Rattus norvegicus: one gene and its partners. The protein of the gene in region 5 purifies or fractionates together with the protein of the main gene of each other region. This does not show direct contact. Links are inferred from orthologs where the notes say so. Each region holds a gene or a part of one and is shown on either strand. Other genes may lie near its edges.

What was found.
Region 1: the proteins of Tulp3 (region 5) and Ttc21b purify together in Homo sapiens (affinity purification with mass spectrometry; 5 studies listed by BioGRID and IntAct, counting the BioPlex papers as one, with this or other methods). This does not show direct contact. The link is inferred for Rattus norvegicus from reciprocal best matches to the Homo sapiens genes TULP3 and TTC21B.
Region 2: the proteins of Tulp3 (region 5) and Wdr19 purify together in Homo sapiens (affinity purification with mass spectrometry; 5 studies listed by BioGRID and IntAct, counting the BioPlex papers as one, with this or other methods). This does not show direct contact. The link is inferred for Rattus norvegicus from reciprocal best matches to the Homo sapiens genes TULP3 and WDR19.
Region 3: the proteins of Tulp3 (region 5) and Sirt1 purify together in Homo sapiens (affinity purification with mass spectrometry; 5 studies listed by BioGRID and IntAct, counting the BioPlex papers as one, with this or other methods). This does not show direct contact. The link is inferred for Rattus norvegicus from reciprocal best matches to the Homo sapiens genes TULP3 and SIRT1.
Region 4: the proteins of Tulp3 (region 5) and Ift140 purify together in Homo sapiens (affinity purification with mass spectrometry; 5 studies listed by BioGRID and IntAct, counting the BioPlex papers as one, with this or other methods). This does not show direct contact. The link is inferred for Rattus norvegicus from reciprocal best matches to the Homo sapiens genes TULP3 and IFT140.

The regions. Positions count from the first base shown.
Region 1 is NC_086021.1:71,337,430-71,340,943, forward strand, and holds part of Ttc21b (tetratricopeptide repeat protein 21B), read right to left. Parts: intron 1,563-3,514; coding exon 1,433-1,562; intron 1,338-1,432; coding exon 1,227-1,337; intron 1-1,226. UniProt on the Homo sapiens protein: Component of the IFT complex A (IFT-A), a complex required for retrograde ciliary transport and entry into cilia of G protein-coupled receptors (GPCRs). Essential for retrograde trafficking of IFT-1, IFT-B and GPCRs.
Region 2 is NC_086032.1:43,421,926-43,425,439, reverse strand, and holds part of Wdr19 (WD repeat-containing protein 19), read left to right. Parts: coding exon 1-116; intron 117-292; coding exon 293-403; intron 404-2,594; coding exon 2,595-2,704; intron 2,705-3,514. UniProt on the Homo sapiens protein: As component of the IFT complex A (IFT-A), a complex required for retrograde ciliary transport and entry into cilia of G protein-coupled receptors (GPCRs), it is involved in cilia function and/or assembly.
Region 3 is NC_086038.1:25,308,944-25,312,457, forward strand, and holds part of Sirt1 (NAD-dependent protein deacetylase sirtuin-1), read left to right. Parts: intron 1-418; coding exon 419-660; intron 661-3,514. UniProt on the Homo sapiens protein: NAD-dependent protein deacetylase that links transcriptional regulation directly to intracellular energetics and participates in the coordination of several separated cellular functions such as cell cycle, response to DNA damage, metabolism, apoptosis and autophagy.
Region 4 is NC_086028.1:14,536,188-14,540,270, forward strand, and holds the start of Ift140 (intraflagellar transport 140), read left to right. Parts: upstream 1-1,278; 5' UTR 1,279-1,786; intron 1,787-3,723; 5' UTR 3,724-3,754; coding exon 3,755-3,901; intron 3,902-4,083. UniProt on the Homo sapiens protein: Component of the IFT complex A (IFT-A), a complex required for retrograde ciliary transport and entry into cilia of G protein-coupled receptors (GPCRs).
Region 5 is NC_086022.1:163,315,452-163,319,563, reverse strand, and holds the start of Tulp3 (tubby-related protein 3), read left to right. Parts: upstream 1-1,309; 5' UTR 1,310-1,358; coding exon 1,359-1,399; intron 1,400-4,112. UniProt on the Homo sapiens protein: Negative regulator of the Shh signaling transduction pathway: recruited to primary cilia via association with the IFT complex A (IFT-A) and is required for recruitment of G protein-coupled receptor GPR161 to cilia, a promoter of PKA-dependent basal repression machinery in Shh signaling.

The DNA of each region.
Region 1 (3,514 bases), on a different chromosome or scaffold from region 5:
AAAAGAAATAAAAGAGTCTGGTATACAATCAGAGTATCCACCTTTCAGATTCCAAAGGCACACTTAGTCATGTACTAGCTGGGCAGTTTATGTCATTCCTAAGAAAGGCAATTATTTTTGTTAATCAAATGTATATTTAAAAACCCAGTAATATTCTAAAATGATACAAATGCTAGGGTCAGTGTCAGGACTAGATCTCAGTCTACCCAATTCTACAATCCAATTCTGAAGCACGGATGTGTGGGTCACTCACTATAACTCTTTTGTATCCTGGAAATGTATTTAGCACAGTCCTAACAGAAGGTACATAACTGGTTACTTGTCAAACAGTGTTTTTTTATTTTTATTTTTATCTGTGTATGTGTGCTTGGCATGAAAGAGGCATGTGATAATTTTTTAAAGATAAAAGTGTTTCCAATATTTAAAAGCTCATTCTATGACATGCAGCTTATTTAATTATTTAAAATACTTACAGTGCTATTAATTGTTACTGGACATACACGTATAGTTTTAAGTTACTTATAGCTTGGATTCTCTTCTCTTCTCAGTCATACCTTATATTACTTGCTAACACAATGCAACTCAACTTTAAAGACCATTCCTTCCACAATATATCCACATGTCCCAACTACTACCTAAGTAACATTCCATCCCCATGATAGCCATGAATCCCAACTACTATAAAGAACAGAGTTCCTTCCATAATATAGTCTTACATCTCAAATACTACCAAGAATAATGTTCTCTCCATAATAAAGCCATACGTCCCAACTACTCTACAATGAAAATCATGTTACTTCCATAATATAGCCACATGTCTCAAGTACGACACAATGAAAATTTACTGAACATTTTTCAGGAGCTATGAACAATGGGAACTATCAAAGTCCTCATGAAGCTTACTACGTTGTCTAAGGAGAGAAACTGCACATTGCTACACATTTGCACAGTCTGTGTGTGTCACTCTTCTTTGGTTGTCCTTTCATTGCTTTGTGAAACAGTTGCTAACATTTACACAGTCAACTCTGTTAACTCAGACCATTGCTATGCACCATTGAAATAACTGTCATAGGATGCATAAAAGCAGCATGAAACGGATGAATTTATACTCTGGCCAGGAAGATAAAACATTACATATATAGCACCATGGATAGAAAACTAAAAATCATTAAGTCGCAGTAAGCAGAACATGGAATCTATCTCAATGCTACACTTAAATGCTGTACCTGGATTGGGGCTCATTTTATGGACATACATCAGCGCCATCAGGGAACACAGTGACACGTCTTGTTTATTTTTAATGGCCTCAAACTCCCGAAGGGCTTCTTGAGCTTTACCTGGAAATCAAGATTGGGGTTTGAAAAACAATTAGTATACTTAGTTCAAGCTAGGATTCAGAGCATAGGGAAGACATCTGATGATCAGCACGTACCCTCCATTAGTGTGCCGTAGGCATGGTAAAATCGGAAGACTGGGTCACTGCTATACTTCTTCATCCCTTCACTGGCCACAAGGAGCACATGGTGATAGTATCTCTCTTGACAATAGTAATTGATCAGTGTCTACAAGGAAATAATGACTAATGGTTAACAGGCAGGTTAATATTCAGAAGAAGACATCAATCTTGGATAATCCAGAACTTAATATAGTTTCTTCTCTGCTCTTTAAAATGTCTTTAACCCTGGGCACTCAATAGTAAGGATGAGACTGAGTGACCATGGAATTATTCAAAAGTCAGTGTTTCTCTTTTTCGGTGTAATTTTCTTTTGTTCCCTATAATTAGTTCTTTTCAACAATATTGGAGTCAGACTACGTTTACATTTTACCTTCTTTGGCTTTATCTTCTTTGAAGATTTTAGAAAAAAAGAAAAAGAAAACAAACAACAACAACAAAAAACAAACAAACAAACAAACAAAAAAACCAAAACAAAACTGTGGACCAAGAAAATGAAGAGACTAGAGCTGGTTAGTTTGCTACTTTTAAAAATTTGGTTTGGCTCTGTCAACTTGACGAAGACAAGAGTCACCTGGGAAGAAGGAACCTTGATTGATGAAATCCTTAGATTAGCCTAAAGGCAAGCCTCTGAGGCATTTTCTTGACTAATGATTGATGTGGGGGGCTCCAGCCCACTCTGGGCACCACTGAGCAGCAGGTAGTCATGAAAAATATTCACATATATGAATACATACACACATACATACACACATACATACAATCTGAGTTAGCCATGAAAAGCAAATCAGTAAGCAATAAGCAGTATTCCTCCACTGTGGTAGGTTGAATGAGAAAATCCTTAGGCTCGTATATTTGAATGCTTGATCTCTAGTCACTGAAACTGTTTTGGAAGGATTGAAAGGTTTGGTCTTGTTAGAGGAGGTGTGTCTGGAGGCTTTGATGGTTCAAACATCCAAAGTAGGCCTTATCTTTGTCTCTCTGCCAGTCTCTATCTTTCTCTTTCTCACTATCTCTGTCTCTCCGTCCCTCCCTCCTTCCCTACTGCTTGCGGCTTAGGATGTAACCTCTCAGCTACTGTCAGACCCATGGCCATGATGGTCTTGAACTCTAACCCTTGGACACTGTAAGCAAGTCTCCAATAAACACTTCTTTAAGTTGCTTTGGTCATGGTGTCTCTTCCCAGAATACACAAGTAACTAAGACTGCTTCAGTTCCTATTTCCAGAATGAGTCCTTGATGTCTTGCCCTAATAAAACACAATGATCAAAAGCAACTCAGGAAGGATAGGGTTCACTTCATCTTAGTTTGTGGTGCAGAGAAGTCAGAGGGACATAGAGGAGTGTGGTTTACTGGCTTGCTCAGACTGTTTTCTTATATCACAGAGAACCACCATCACCTACAATGAGAAGGGCCCTCCAGCATCAACCAGGAAAGTTCCTTGGATACTTGACTACAGGCAATCTAATGGTGGCATATTTTCAACTGAAGTATCTTATTCTCAAATGACCCTGGGTGTGTCAAGTTGTCATAGCCAGGACACAAGCTGTGACAAATTGGGTCTACTTTTCTTGAAAATGCATCTAAGATTCAGCTGCTGACCTACTCAAAGAGGGAAGCCACACTCTCACCATCACTGTAACTACGGGGCTTCCTTACTTCACAAACAAAGGTGAGGAATCCTGTGACACTGTCCGCCTGCATTAGGACCACATGAGTGAGAGACAGAAAGGACATAGGTGCACACAGACAGCTCTTTTACAGTCTGGATTCTGCAGGGCTACACCTTGCCTTTCCTAGAGCTCAGTCATGCAATATTCTCTAGAACCTCTGCTCTGCTCCCCTCTTGTGGGTTCTGTTTCACACTTGTTCTCCACCTCATTTCTGGAGACAGTGACCCATATTCCAAATGGCAGACAACCGCAACATAGCTCAGCAAAGTGCAGTTTGATTTTTTTTCCCAACTTCCTCATGCTCCAGGATCAAAACGAACTTACTTATTTATCCCACAATGCTATCCTCCTTGACTTCTGTGCTGCATGAAAAATGATTCACAGACCA
Region 2 (3,514 bases), on a different chromosome or scaffold from region 5:
CTTCGTGGAGTGAGCTGGCCAGAGCCTGTCTGCATCACATGGAGGTGGAGTTTGCCATTCGCGTTTCCCGGACGATGGGGGACGTTGGCACCGTGATGTCCTTGGAACAAATAAAGGTATGCAGTAGTTCATGAGTCACTAGATCACAGCATAGATGTGGCTTACTCAGCTTTTTACGTTTTCGTCTCAATTCAAACAACTGAATAGGTGGTCTGATAGCTCTTCCTCCTGAGCAAAGCCTTTGAAAGTGAAAGCCTTATATTTCTTCTCACGACACTGCTTTTCCTTGTAGGGAATTGAGGACTACAATCTTTTGGCAGGACATCTCGCCATGTTTACTAATGACTTCAACCTGGCTCAGGACCTGTACCTGGCATCCAACTGCCCGGTGGCAGCCCTGGAGGTATGACAGCAAAGAGAACAGGCAGTCACCCTTCTCTACAGTCAGACTTGGCAGCGCCAGGCACCACGTGGCTTCCTCTCCTGACGTGTAGACATTCAGCTTTCAGAGCCCCTGAGTACTCATTAACTTCAAAACCACTTTCATCCTGCATTCAGTGGAGGTATAAAAAAGGCATGGTGTTGTAGCACTGCTAAATAATTCAAAGTCTAAATGTGTCCAAAGAGAAAAGGCTGTGTATAACTTACAAACTGTAAAAAGGAAAGTAGATGTCGTTTGTTGCTTGTTCATGTTGCCCAGGTGCTGTCCCAAGCTCCTGACCTGTATTACCTCATTTAACCCTCTCAACAATCTATCTTATAGACTAGTACCGTTATTTTCTCTATTTCCCACATGAGGACCTTGAAGCACATTGATCTTCTAGTTCCTGCATGGACCTCTCCTCTCTGTGAGGAGCTGACGACTGCAGATGGGGAACAGAACAGAATGTGGGGCTAAGTTCAGAGTCAGAGGGGAAGGGAGCCTGCAGACACAGACTAGCAGTTGAAGGGCATAGACTAGCCGGCTCTCAAGAGGCAGACAGGAGGAGTGCTGGAGTTCAAGGTCAGCCTGGCCCAAATAACAAGTTCTAGGTTAGCCAGGGCTACATAGCAAGACTGGGGGGGGAGGGGTTGAGGCACATCTGGATTCAGATCCCACCTGTTTGTGACCTTGGGCATGTCCTTTGACCTCTCTCAGCTTAGGTCCTTCTTCTTTAAAGTGTGGATAATGATGCCTAACCCTCAGGGTGGTAGGGCAAGAAAATGAGTTTAGAGTACAATAAATTAGAAGTAATTTATATAACAAGCAGTAGCCAGAAATAAGCAAACAAACCTCGAACTTCTGGTCATCTTTTCTCAAAGAAAATAGATTGCATCTATCTGTTACAATATATTTATATTCTAATATATAATAAAACATGATATTAGCTTCATAAAGGCCCTGAGGTGACAGTTCAGAACCAAGGGCTAATGGCACCCTACAGTTCCTTCAGCCTCCCTTAGCGAGACAAGTTACTTAGGAAGAAAGCCCTGCCTCCCACCTGCTCTCCCTTGCTGGCCATGCAGCCTTGTGTAAGACCTGGCCTGACTTTGCTTCCATTTCTGGATCTATGAAATGGACACAAGAATATTGCAAAAGATAGTTGTGAAAAATGAAATAAGTTCATGTTCTAGACCAGGACCAGGTAAGAAAATAGCACTTGGAAAGATTACTTACGAATTCTTTACAGTTTAAATCAGTGAGGAATGAATTGGACACATTCTTCAGTAGTGACCTGGTATATTGTTTGCCAAATACTTGTAAGACACCACAGGATCCAGAAAGGAAGATGCTTTATATGTTGTGGTTTCTGTTATTCATGTTGCAACATAGCTTCAAATCACCTAAGAAGCCATATCAGGGGCCAGAGAGATGACTCACCTGGTAAGGCGCTGGCCACCATGCCTGGTGACTTGTCTTTGATCCCCAGAACCCACGTGATACAAGGAGAAAACTGACTCCTGTGAGTTGTCCTCTGACCTCCGTACACACAGTAACACACATGTGCTTATGCACACAGACATAAATAAATGTAACTTTAATAAAAAAAAGAAAGAAAGAAAAGAAAGAGAAAGAAAAAAAAAAGAAAAGGTGCATCAGTTCCAGCCAAGTTAGTAGCTCATGTCTGCAATCCCAGCAAGAAACAGACTTAGGAAGGTTGCTTTAAGTTCAAAGCCAGCCTGGACTATGTAGTCTTATTCCAGGCCAGTCAGGAACGCATAGCAAAATCCTGCCTCAGCAATAACAGAAGGAAGGAAATCAATTTCTAAAGTGTTTCCTAGGTTTTTTATTCGTGTCCTTCTATGGTGAAATTTTCAGTTAATTGATTATATTAGCTTTAATTTCTCACTATTGGAAAAAAATACTAAAAAATAAATTTTTTATTAGATTTTGTTTTGAGAGGAGCACAAGCTACCATACTAGCTAAGATTTTTGTCCAGTCTAGAAGACTCTTGTACTGCCTTTCGGACTATATCTTATAGCAGTGTCTTTGTAAATAGAAAGTTTTATTATTTAAGGAAAAAAATGTAATTCCTTTTACTAAGCCTGGCTCTCTGCGGTGACTTTAAAAAGCATGTTGCCTTCTGGACCTTAGGGCTTTGTTTTCCAACAGATGAGGCGGGACCTGCAGCACTGGGACAGTGCTCTGCAGCTGGCGAAGCGCCTGGCCCCAGACCAGATTCCCTTCATCTCCAAAGAGTATGCCATCCAGCTGGAGTTCACGTAAGTCCTGCCTCTGGAGCTTCTCATCAGTAGCTAATTAATGCACGCTACAGTTCCAAACTGTCACAGTTTAGAAGGCTCTTCTTCAATAATGGGGGGGGGGGGTGTTAGAGTTAATGAGAAAGGAGCTGGGAGTTCTGCATCTTGATCTGAAGGTAACCAGGAAAGATGGGTGTCCTTAGACAGCTAGGAGGAAGCTCTTTTCTGCAGTGGGTGGAGCCTGAGCATAGGAGGAGGCCTCTTAAGCCCAGCCCCACAGTGACACACTTCCTCCAACAAAGCCACACCTCCTCCAACAAGGCCACACCTCCTCCAACAAGGCCACACCTCCTCCAACAAGGCCACACCTCCTCCAACAAGGCCACACCTCCTCCAACAAGGCCACACCTCCTCCAAGGCACATCTCCTAACAATGCCACTTCCTATGGGCCAAGCATATTCAAATTACCACACTAGGTTATTTATCAAGACCAGAAAATTCAGGCTAGAGAGACAGCTCAGTAGTAGTTAAGAGCACTTCTCCAAGGACCCAAGTTTGGTTCCCAGCACCCACACTGGGTGGCTCACAATGGCCTGTAAGTCCAGCTCCAGGGAAATCTCTCACCTCTGGTCTCTGCAGTTATCCACACATATGTGCACATACTCACATGCATAATTTAAAATAAAGTAATCTTTTGAAGAAGAAACTTCTCATAGATGTAGAGATGGAGAAACCCAAGTCAAAGTCACAGCATTTGGTAAGGTTTGTTCTTGAATTTTTACACTATGGAATGCTAAAGAATAGGAGAGAAAGAGAGTATTCCCTTCCAC
Region 3 (3,514 bases), on a different chromosome or scaffold from region 5:
AGCTCACCAAGTCCCCCTAACCTTTAAAATACTTAAAACATCTAAGCTTAGTCAAAATACCTAGACAGTCCAGGTAGTGGTGGCATGCACCTTTTTAATCTCTGCACTCAGGAAGCAGAGGCAGGAGAATCTCTTGAATTCTAGGCCAGCCCGATCTACAGAGCAAGTTCCAGGACAGCCAGGGCTATGCAGAGAAACCCTGTCTCAAACCAAACCAACTAACCAAGCAAAAAAACCCTTATACCTAAGCACTTCCTCCCCAAACTCTGGATTAGTCAGATTAGTTAGGGATATGACAGGAAATATCTTTAAATTATATTCTTTGCATATAAATGTATCGATTGCTACCTCATTGGTTGAAAATATAGAGCACTTCCATTAGAAGGGGATGACGGGACTCTTTCTTCCCTTAATATAGGTCCATATACTTTTGTTCAGCAACACCTCATGATTGGCACCGATCCTCGAACAATTCTTAAAGATTTATTACCAGAAACAATTCCTCCACCTGAGTTGGATGATATGACACTGTGGCAGATTGTTATTAATATCCTTTCAGAACCACCAAAGCGGAAAAAAAGAAAAGATATTAATACAATTGAAGATGCTGTGAAGTTACTACAAGAGTGCAAAAAGATAATAGTTCTGACTGGAGCTGGGGTAAGTAAGACACATGAAAACAGTAAAGAGAAAAAGCTAGTATATATTTTATTCCTTTTCCAGTTAATTTTTTTGTTTGCTTTGCTTTTGATGTAGTAGTCTTTGTTCATAAAAACTGAGGACAGCAGCATTTGCTAAACTAGTTCAGTGTTTTGAAAAGTTTAACAACTTTAAATCTTTGTATATTTATAGTACAATTGGTAAGTGGAATTACGGGGTTTTTTGTTTGTTTTAAGATCATGTGTGAGAGAGAGAAGGGGGAGAAAGGAGGAGGAGAAAGAGGAGAAACACACACACACACAGAGATTAATTGATTGATTGATTTTTGCCTATATGCATACATGTGCATGGTATGCCTGGTACCCCACAGAGGCCACAAATGAGTATTGGGTTTCCAGGAATGTGGGCCACCATGTGGGTGCTGGCAAACGTGAGTTCTCTTTAAGGAGCAGCAAGTTCTCTTTCATGGCTAGGCTCTCTCTCTAGCTCCTGGACTTGTTTGGTTTTAATTTTATGTGTATGGGTGTTTTATCTGCATGTATGCTTCTCTGCCATTGTGTGAAGTGCTTAAGGAGTCCAGAAGGCATCAGATCTCCTGAAACTGTAGTGATAGATGTTTGTGAGCCTCCAAGTCCTCTGCAAGAGCATCAAGCCACCTTTTCAACCCCTAGAGCTCTTACACACTGAATCCTGGCTCCTCAAGATGACTTAGAAAAATCAGATCCTTTTGAAGTCTGTCATAGCAAGAGTCTAGTGGAGACAGTTTTCATGGAGAAAGTAGAAACTTAATATTAGGGAGTAAGTAACATTTTTACCTTTTTCTTCATTTTAACTTTGTAAGATTGTAGAGACTTGACCTTTTTCATTTGACTTGGTCTAAAACCAAGTCGTATTCTGTGTTATATAGTATGTTAGACATTGTTAGCAGCCAGAGCAGTTTGAGCAAAGTGAAAAGTATTAAATGATGATCAAGAATCTCAGTTGTGGGGCTGGAGAGATGGCTCAGCGGTTAAGAGCACCCGACTACTCTTCCAGAGGTCCTGAGTTCAATTCCCAGCAACCACATGGTGGCTCACAACCATCTCTAAAGAGATCCGATGCCCTCTTCTGGTGTGTCTGAAGACAGCTAACAGTGTACTCATATATAATAAATGAACAAAAAAAAAAAGAATCTCAGTTGTGGGAGGCAGAGGCAGGTGGGCGTGCCTGAAGCAGGTCAGTGTGCACAGCTTCTTAGCCCCAAGTAGGGTTAGTTTGGCCTACAGGTGTGATTCAGACAAGGAGACAAGGGTTGGCTTTTTTTTTTTTTAGGGAAAAATTTGTTTTATGTTTGGGTATGTGTTGTAGTTTGTGTGCTGTGGCACCTGTGGGAGTCCGTACATCCTGAGTTGGGAGTTGCTTGTTTCCTTCCTCTGTCAGTCTTGACTTCGGACTTGGTCAGAAGCACCTTAACTGACTGCTGAGCTATTCTGTATGTAGGCTTCCAGTGTTATTCTTGAAACAGGGGCTTACTCAGGTCTGGCCTGGAACTTGGCAGAGATCCTCCCAGCTATGGGATTATTCCAGGTATGTACTACCATGCCTGGCTGGCTGGCTGGCTGGCTGGCTTTCTTTCTTTTTTTCTTTCTTTCTCTATAGCCTTGGATGATTTCAAACTTTCTTCTCTTTCTGAAGAATTGGGATTAGAGTTGTATTCCAGAGACATTTTTTTCTTTTACTCCAAGTTGAATGAATCCTGTAAATCTGGAATGAAATAAAGCTTGTCAATTCCCCTACTGGGAGTGTTAAGATTTATCTGAAGAAAAAGGATTATATCTAAAAGTTTTGTAGTTTTTATTTATTTAGAGACAGTATCACACTATGTAGCTCTGGCTAGCCTAGAACTTCCTTTGTAGACCAGGCTGACCTCAAACTTGTAGAGATATAGTCCTACTCTGCCTCCCAAATGCAAAGATTAAAGGCCAGTGTCATCATACCTGTTTATTAAAATTTATTAAGATTTGTGTACCCATGTGTAGTAACACATGCTTTTAATTCCAGCACTCAGGAGGCAGAGACAGGTGAATCTGAAAGTTGAAGTCCAGCCTGGTCTACAGAGCAAGTTCCCAGACAACCAGGGCCACACAGAGAAACCTTATCTTGAAAAACCCCCAATTTCTTTTTTAGTTTGTTTGCTGGTATGTGTGTGATGTGTATATGTGTGTATGCACATGTACGCACACACATGAGGATGTCAAGAGGACAACTTGCAAGCATTCTTACGTGTGGTTCCAGGCATCAAACAGGTGGTAGCATGGTAGCCTTTAGCTACCAAGACATCTCACTGTCTCATTGTTGTAATTTATTGTTTTCGCTGCTGGAGTTGTGAACCCAGGACTTAACCATGTGTCAGGCACAGACACTGTACAACTGACTTTATCCTTAGCCCTTTTTACATTACTTAGGGTGGCTACCTGAACTTAAGTGATCATGCCTCAGCTGTCTTAGCTCTGACTATAGACTTGTGCCACTGTTCTGGGTTTTAATCATTACAATTTATAATTAAAAATACATTCCTAGTTGGATACGGTAATGCATTTCCTTTAATCCCAGCCTAGCATTTGACTCTCAGGACCTTACTGTGCTGACGAACTTCAGCATTAGGATGTAGAGACAGGCAGATCCTTGAAGCCTAATGGCTACCCAGCCTATCTCAGATAATGAGAAGCTAGGTGTCCTATGCTTGGGGAGGCAGAGGCAGGGGTAGGGGTGTGTGTGTGTGTGTACAGTGAGATCCTGTCAAAAGACAAAAAACAACCCATAAATAAGTAAATAAATGATACATTTTTGGGCTGGAACGATGGCTCAGAACTTA
Region 4 (4,083 bases), on a different chromosome or scaffold from region 5:
CGAATCTATTCACTTCTAACCCCCTCACCAAGGTTCCCAAAACCCTGTCATTGTGCTAGGGAGCGGAAACCCATTCCCAGAACCAGCACTGCCAGCGCCACCAAACAAAATACATCAGTCCAACAGGACCCACTCGCCGGCGCGCCAGGCCGTGTCCCCAGGCGCATTCCGGTCGTTCCCCAGCGGCGGTGGACTCCTATGGAGTCCGTCACCGAAACCCGTCACTTCCTGACCGTGGGAGGCGCGGGCACTGCGGGCCTCGTCCCGGCTCCACACCCTTTGTCCCATTTCGGGTGGGAGAAGCTCGCACCTTCCTAAAGAGCTGACCGCTGGCTGCACACGGCACAGCCCGCGAATACCGCGGCCCCTCCGCGGATCCCGTAGGCTCCCGAGTGCAGCCTGCGGTCACCTTTTTCATCCACGCTTCCCGGCAGACTGGCTCCCGGATCCCGGGCCTCCGCAGAACCGACGGGGCCGGGCAGCTCCGGCTGCGGCGAGGCCGCGATGCCGGGCTGGTAGTCGTGTGTCAGACGCGGTCACCGAGCACTGTTCCCTTCGCAACTCCTCTCTGTGGACCGGCGCGCGGCTAACAGGGCTGACGGCGCCGGTGCTGCCGCCACTCGCCCTCCCACACCCGGGACGCCGCGCTCTCTAAACAGTTCCGGCTACGGCGGCCGCCCGGGACCTGAAGTCGGCGCCGGAGCGGGGCGGGGCGAACGTCCCGCAAAAAAAGGCGAGCACGTCCAGCTTTTCTGCGGGCGCGCCCAACCAGCTAGGCTGCCATTGGTCAGTAGGCGTTACGTGCGCGCGCCCGCACGGTGTACAGGGGCGGGCCCGCAACGTGGGGCGTGTTGTGACGGCAACCTCGCGCCCTTGCGGGTCGTGCGTCTCTTCCGATTGGCGAACCGACAGCCAATAGGGTCAGCGTTCTGGTTGTGATTGGCTGAGACTGTGTTGACGGATGCGTGAGAAGAAATCACCGCCTCAGCGGGGCGTCTTGAAGCGCGCGCGAACTCGGGTGGGGACTATGCACTCTGAAATCAGGTTTAGGACCATAAATATATCGTAGCACAGCCCACTAACAGTTTTCCTGCTCGAAACGATAAGGAAATGTTTTTTAAAACTCTAATCCTTATGCATGTGGCGTTTGAGACGGAGTATTCCAGTTCGCAGAAGGTCTCCGTCTCTGGTTATCCCCTTGGCTCGTTGGCGTGGACCGTGCTACTGCGCCTGCTCTCCAGCGACACCCGCCGTTGGCTAACGCTGGCTAAAGTACGCACGGTCGCCCAGGGAACCCTAGCTGCTGCAAGGTTCTGCTGAGTGCCGCTTGCAGCGGTCTCCCGAGGCGTCAACGCGCCACACTCCCGGGCGGCGTCCGGTACTCAGAACTTCCCGGAGAAGCTCTCGAGCCGCGCCCTCCCATCCGAGTCGATGCAACTAAGCTCCCCGAGGTGTCGACTGATGGCCTGCGTGGTGGGGTGGGCAGGATGAACTCGAGGATAAAAGTATCAGGAGGCTTGACGCAGCTTGCCCTGAGTAGCAAATAGTTCTGGCCCACCCATTAGCAAGAAGGCCAAACTGTGGTCCTGAGACGGGCCTGAGACTCAGAGCTGCGCCGGGAAGGACCGACTGTCTTTGGCTCTTTGCGCCTCTAGTCGCCAGTCGTCTTTTTGGGAGCCATCGGAGGCGCGGCCGTCCCTGAACTTGCTTCCACTTTCTGTAGCGGCGTTGTCCGGGCGACACGGAGGCACAGGGAATCTGCGGAAGTTAGACTCCTATACCTGAGGTGCAAAGGCGTCTGGGGCTGGAGTGGGGAGTGGCTGGGGGTGGGATAGGGTCCTTCAGGATCGGCCTGGGGCCTAGAGATGACCTGCCAGGACCCTTTCGATTCCTCTCTGTGCTGGCTTCACAAGAATTCTCTCTGCCCAGTCCTAGAGCCCCCTGCTGGACTTTTGAGTTGCCGCGTGGTTACCTCTGCATGCATTTAGTTTGAAGTTGGGGGAAGCCAAAATCCGTGACTTGGTTAATTTTCGGGTGGCTTATGAAAATAGCATGATCTGACTGGACCACCTTGAACTACACAGTCCTTCAATAATGTTTACATGATGCAGCTAGTGACCTTATTCTGGCCCAGAGAGCTAGACTTTAGATCATTGGTCACTACCCTGAAAGGCTACTCTAGAACTCATCCTCTTGTTCCTGAGAGTCTCTGACAGTTGTAACTTGTCTTTAATTGTTAGTATGATTCCTTGGCATAATGAGTTTAACTAGCTTTCCTAAGAGTTGGCTTGATGGAGCTACTTACCTCTGAAAATGATTGACAACTATAAAAATGAGGATCAATTGACTGGAAAAAGTGAAATTGCCTTTTTCTTGCTTTAGGGCCTCCATACTTGAAACTTGTTCCTGAACTAAGGCCATTAACAGATTTTCAAATAACTATTTTATTGTGAACATCTGCCTTTTAAAATTTATTTAATAACTTTTTAATTATTTGGCTAATTCTCATTTTAAAACTTAAGAGTTCTGGTCAGTAGTGCTTCACACGTTTAATCCCAGGACTTGGGAGGCAGAGGCAGGCAGATCTTTGTGAATTTGAGGCCAGCCTGGGCTACAGAGCAAGTTCTAGGACAGTCAGGGCTAAACAGAAATCTTGCCTTGAAAGACAAAACAAAACAAAACAAATGAACAATAAAAAACCTTAAGCGCGGGGTTGGGGATTTAGCTTAGTGGTAGAGCGCTTGCCTAGCAAGCGCAAGGCCCTGGGTTCGGTCCCCAGCTCCTAAAAAAAGAAAAGAAAAGAAAAGAAAAACCTTAAGCACAAGTGAGGAGAGAACAGACAATTAGAACATTGTATAAAAATGGAAATACTAAAGTGTCAGGTAGCACTTTTTTTTAAAAAATAAGTTTTTTGTTTTTTTTTTTTTTGAGACAAGGTCTCACTGTGTATCCTTGGCTGCCTGGAACTCACTGTAGTAGACCATATTTCCTCAAGCACATAGGGATCTCGGCTTCTTATGTGCTGGGATTGAAAGCTTGTGCCACCATATTTGGCTTATTTCTAATGTCTGTGTGCAGTCTGCAGAGGCCAGCGTGGCATCAGATCCCAGAGGAACTGCAGTTCTAGCCAGCTGTGAGCTGCCTGATGCGAGTGCTGGGGACTGAACTCACGTCACCTGGAAGATCTCTTAACCACAGAATCATCTTTCAAACCCATGTATCAAATCAAATGCAGCATCTCCCCAGTCACTGTGGCTTTGTGATCCTGACTGTCCTCTGCCACCTATAAGTCATAGCTAGCAGACATTCTTTTGAGTTTTGGTTTCTATGAAGTTGAATGCTGTTTTTTCTCTGTACAGATATTTTATGGGCAGTTTGCTTTTCTCTAGTTTCAGCTTTGTCTTTGAGGGTGTCCGTAGAAATCGAACCCATGCTTATCTTGTCTGGAATGAGAGTGATCAAGAATTATTTGAAACCCCCGTTTAGTACTTGCTCATTCTATTCCATTTAGTTCTCTCTTAGCAAAGAATTTGACTTCTTTTCCAGCACACGTTGGGTCATTCCAAGTTCAAGCCTTTGCTTTTTATATTTCTCCTTAATAGAGATCTCTAACAAATAAGTTCACTTAAGAAACACGTCAAGCTGCTTTGTGTCTTTGTAAGTGTGCTTCCCTTTTGCAATTCTATACGCTGTCATTCTTAGTTGGTTTCCCCCGCTCTGCAGGTCTCATCCTTGACTAAGTCTGTGCATCACCATGGCACTGTATTTTGACCACCGAATCAAAGCTCCAGATGCATCCAGCTCTCCCTCTCACATCACCTGGCACCCCACCCACCCATTCCTGGCAGTGGCATCTGTAAGCCCATCTTCTGGAGGCAACGTAGACATCTACCTTGAACAAGTGAGTCCTTGGAGTGACATTGACTTCAGCAGCTCCTGACCCTTGTGCTCTTTTCTCCTCCCGAGTCATAGAGGCCAGGAGGCAGCATAGCTCAGCTCTAGAGACCTCTAAATCAGTTTGTCCAAGGGCCAGTTGTTCCTAAGCACCAAAGCCCTGGTGTCTGGCAGTTCTTTCATCCCCTG
Region 5 (4,112 bases):
ATTCAAATAGCATCTCTTTCAACCCTACTCATTAGCATCTAGGCCCTTCTAGGCCAAGCAGAGCTTATGCTGTGCCTTACATGAGTGAAGATTTGTAGCACAAAAAAGGAAGAGGAGGAGGAGGAGGAGGAGGAGGAGGAGGAGGAGGAGGAGGAGGAGGAGGAGGGGTTGGGGATTTAGCTCAGTGGTAGAGTGCTTGCCTAGGAAGAGCAAGGCCCTGGGTTCGGTCCCCAGCGGTCCCCAGCTCCGAAAAAAAGAACGAAAAAAAAAAAAAAAAAAAAAAAAGCAGCAGCAACAGCCACCCAGGGTCACATAGGGAGGGGGGCCAAGTTCAGTGTTCTGCTCTCCTAGCCTTTGTTTGCAGGTATGCTATTCCCTAGTTTTCAAAAATTAATTTCTGGGACTTGGAGAGGTGGCTCAGCAGTTATGAGCCTTGGATACCCAGAAGGCACAAGTTCTATTCCCAGCACCCACATAGTGACTCACAACCATCTATAACTCCAGTTCCGGGGTATCTGACAGCTTTGGGCACCAGGGATGCATATGATATGCAGACACTCACATAGGTGAAACATACGGCACATGCCTTTAATTCTAGCACTAGGGCGCAGAGGCAGTTGGATCTCAGAGTTCCAGACCAGCCTAGGACTGTGTACTGAGATCCTGTCTCAAAATAAATACATTATTTTTTAAGTGAATTTTTGGATTCAACATCAGTGTGCTTTTGGCCTTACTCATTAAGTCTATCTGTTGTAGTTCTGGTCATAAAGTCCTAGAGGGACCAGAGCCACAAAGGCACTGATGCCTGGAGGCATGATTCAATGCAGAGAGGACAGCTTAGTAGCTACCCTCACGAATAAGGACACTTGAAGAGGGTCCCCAGGTAGGGATCCCGCAGTCGGCCTGTGGGCAAGGGCTAACGGTTTGGAAGGCTGAATGAAGGCCTCAGGTATCCTGGAGCAGGTCAGACTGCGAAGCTTCGGGCGACAGAGGTTCGAAAACCCGGGACTACACCCTGGCGCACCACAGTGGAGTGCAGGGAATCACCCTGTCGTGGTCGGCCCTGGAGTGGAGCAGATGAAGACTACTCCGAGAACCAGCTCGGACCCAGCCCCGGGGCTGTTCCCCTCTCTAGCGCACGCGCCATTGCCTCCCGGTGCCTCCCGCCCCCTGGAAACCCTCCAGCATCGCGGCTAGCGTCATTTGCCAGTGAGACGGGAGCGGAGGGTACTGGACCAATGGGCGTCGGCGACAGTGCGGGGTGTGGTTGCCAGGGGCGGGGCCCGACCTCCTCCATCCTCTCCAGCCGGGCGGCGGCGTCTTGGGGTCTGGACGCTGATGCCACCGGTCGGGCGGGTATGGAGGCGGCGCGCTGCGCACCGGGATCCCGCGGGGACAGGTCAGGCGGCGGAGAGACGGGCAGGGGTCTCCAGGGGGGGCGGGCAAGAGCGGAGGCCAGGCTCTTGTACCCAGGCTGGGCAGGGGCTATGCACACCCTGTGTCTCCAGAGCTCTCTTGTCGCTCTCCTGGAGTTTACCCCGAACCAGCTCGCCCTTCACCCCTAGGGCCTCGGAATCTCTGACTTGCAGTGCGCTGTGCTTCCTGCGCCGCAAGCTCTCTCGAGCCGCTCCCCTGGAGTTTACCCCGGACGAGCTCTCCATGCTCCCCTAGGGTCTCGATTCCCTCACTTGCAATGCGTTCTCCCGTCTCTGTCTCTCTCGACTTGGATCAGAACTGAGCTGGAAGGAGGGCACTCCTGGGAGTCGAAGCGGAAGGTCGAGGGTGATGGTTAATTGGTTCCAAGGCCGTTGCTTTTGGCAGTCATTGCGGAATTCTGGAACGAGTCCGAGGACTGAAAATGCAAAACTGTTCTTTTCTTCTTTCTTTCTTCCCCTGAGTTCCAGGAGTTCTTTCAGTGAGGCCTGTCTTAGTTTAGACTGTTCCATACTCTCGTTAGTGCCCCCGATTTCTCTACCAAGACCCCTCTTTTTTCCTGGTTCACAGAGTGAGCTTGGGAAAGCAAACGGGCTGCAATCCCAGCCTCCTCATTTCTCGTCAGCTAGGCTAACGAAAAGTTAATGGGGGGCCCTGTGAAATCACTGTCTCAAAACTTCAGCATTGTGTGAGGATTGAAACCAAACACGCCAACTGCATTCTTCCTTTACCCTTCCGTTACCACAGCAGATAAAGACTTGGCGTAAGGATTTAGTCTGACGTTTAAACGAGTTTTTAACTGGCCCGAAACCATCTTTTAAGAAGTTACAATAGAGACCCGTGCTCTCCATCGGTGTCATACAAGACTAAGCTTCCCTCAAACTTGACAATAAGGCTGACTTTGAACATTTGTTTCCTACCTCTGCTTCCCAAGGCTGACCTATTTTCATCTTTCATCAAGTAAATTCTATAAACTTGATAGCTGCTCGCCGAAATTTGTTTTCAACTCCCCCTCCATTTTGGGAACAGAAAATACATTTGCAAGTATTAGGCCGGGTTAGCAAAGTTAGTATTCAGCATGTCCGGGTGAAATCAGATGATATCTCGTTCAGCTGAGGGATTTCATTTTTAACTAAACGATTTTAGAGAAGTCAATTCCATAGGAATGTAATTTTTATTTTGAGGTAGGTCTTATGTAGCAGGACTGAAACTCGATATTTAAACCAGGCCAGCTTCGAACTCACACAGATCCATCTGTCTCTGCCTTCCATGACTCACGATTTTAGGGAACAGGAACTTGACTTTGAGATTGGGACCAGCTGGCAGGTTTTGTTTTGTTTTGTTTTTTTTTATTTTATTTTATTTTTCATCTCCTGAACTTGAAGCTTAAAGGAATAATTTTAAGCACCTCCCCCATTCTTCCAAAGAAAAGAAACCGACTCTAATTTCTAGTTGATTGACACGTTAGGAGCCAGTGCGAGGCCCTAGTTTCTCCTGCCCTAGGTAGAGCATGAAGCTCTGTCACTGTTTAACTCGTTTGTTGCTAAAAGCCAGTGAATGTCTCCCTTTTTAGGCTGTCCTTAATAGTTTTTTGAGAGAGACTGAGACTGACTTGGTTGAATGTCAGTATAATCCGGTAATCCAGGCTAGCCTCAAACTCAAAATCCCCCCTGCCTGAGCCTCCCAAGTGTCTTATATAGGCATGCATCACCAAGCCTGGACGTACTTGTGTACTAGGTTCTCTCTCTCTCTCTCTCTCCCCCTCTGTCCCTCTCTCCCTCACTCCCTTCCCACCCCTCTCAGGTTTGAAATTTTCTTTACATCCTTACCAAAATTTCCCCTTCCCCCTCTCCTCCCAGTATCCTCCTCCCTTCCCACCCCCCCACCCCCCATCTACTCCTCTTCTCTTTCTCTTCAAGAAAGGGCAAGCCTACCCATAGATATCAGCCAGTCATGGCATATCAGGTTGCATTAAGACTAGGCACCTCCTCTTCTATTAAGGCTGGAGGAGGCCATCCAATAGGAGGAAAGAATCCCCAAATGAGGTAACAGAGTTAGAACCAGCCCCTGCTCCCACTTTAGGAGTCTTATAAGAAGACTATGCTACACAATTGTAACATATGTGCAGAGAGCCTAGGTCAGTCCCATGCATGCTCCCTGGTTGGCGGTTCAGTCTCTGTGAGCGCCTGTGAACCTCAGTTAGTTGATTCTGTAGGTTTTCTTGTGGTGTCTTTGACCCCTCTGGCTTCTTCAATCCTCCTTCTCTTCCACAGGATTCCCTAAGCTCCACCTAATGTTTAGCTGTGGGTCTCTGTATCTGTTTTCATCAGTTGCTAGGTGAAGCCTCTCTGATGATGGCTACATTAGGCTCCTGTCTGCAAGCATAGCAAACAGGATATCATTAACAGTGTCAGGGGTGATCTCTCTCTTACGGCATGGGTCTCAAGCTGGACCAGTCACCGCTTGCCCATTTCCTCTTCCTCTGCTCTGTCTTTACCCCTGTACATCCTACAGGCAGGACAGATTGTATGTAGGTTGAAGGGTTTGTGGCTGGGTTGCTGTCTCCATCCCTCCACTGGAAATCTTGTCTCGGTTTGGGCTCCACATCCCCATTGTTAGGAGTTTTAGCTAGGGTCACCCTCACAGATTCCTGGGAGTTTCCATTGCATGAGATTTCT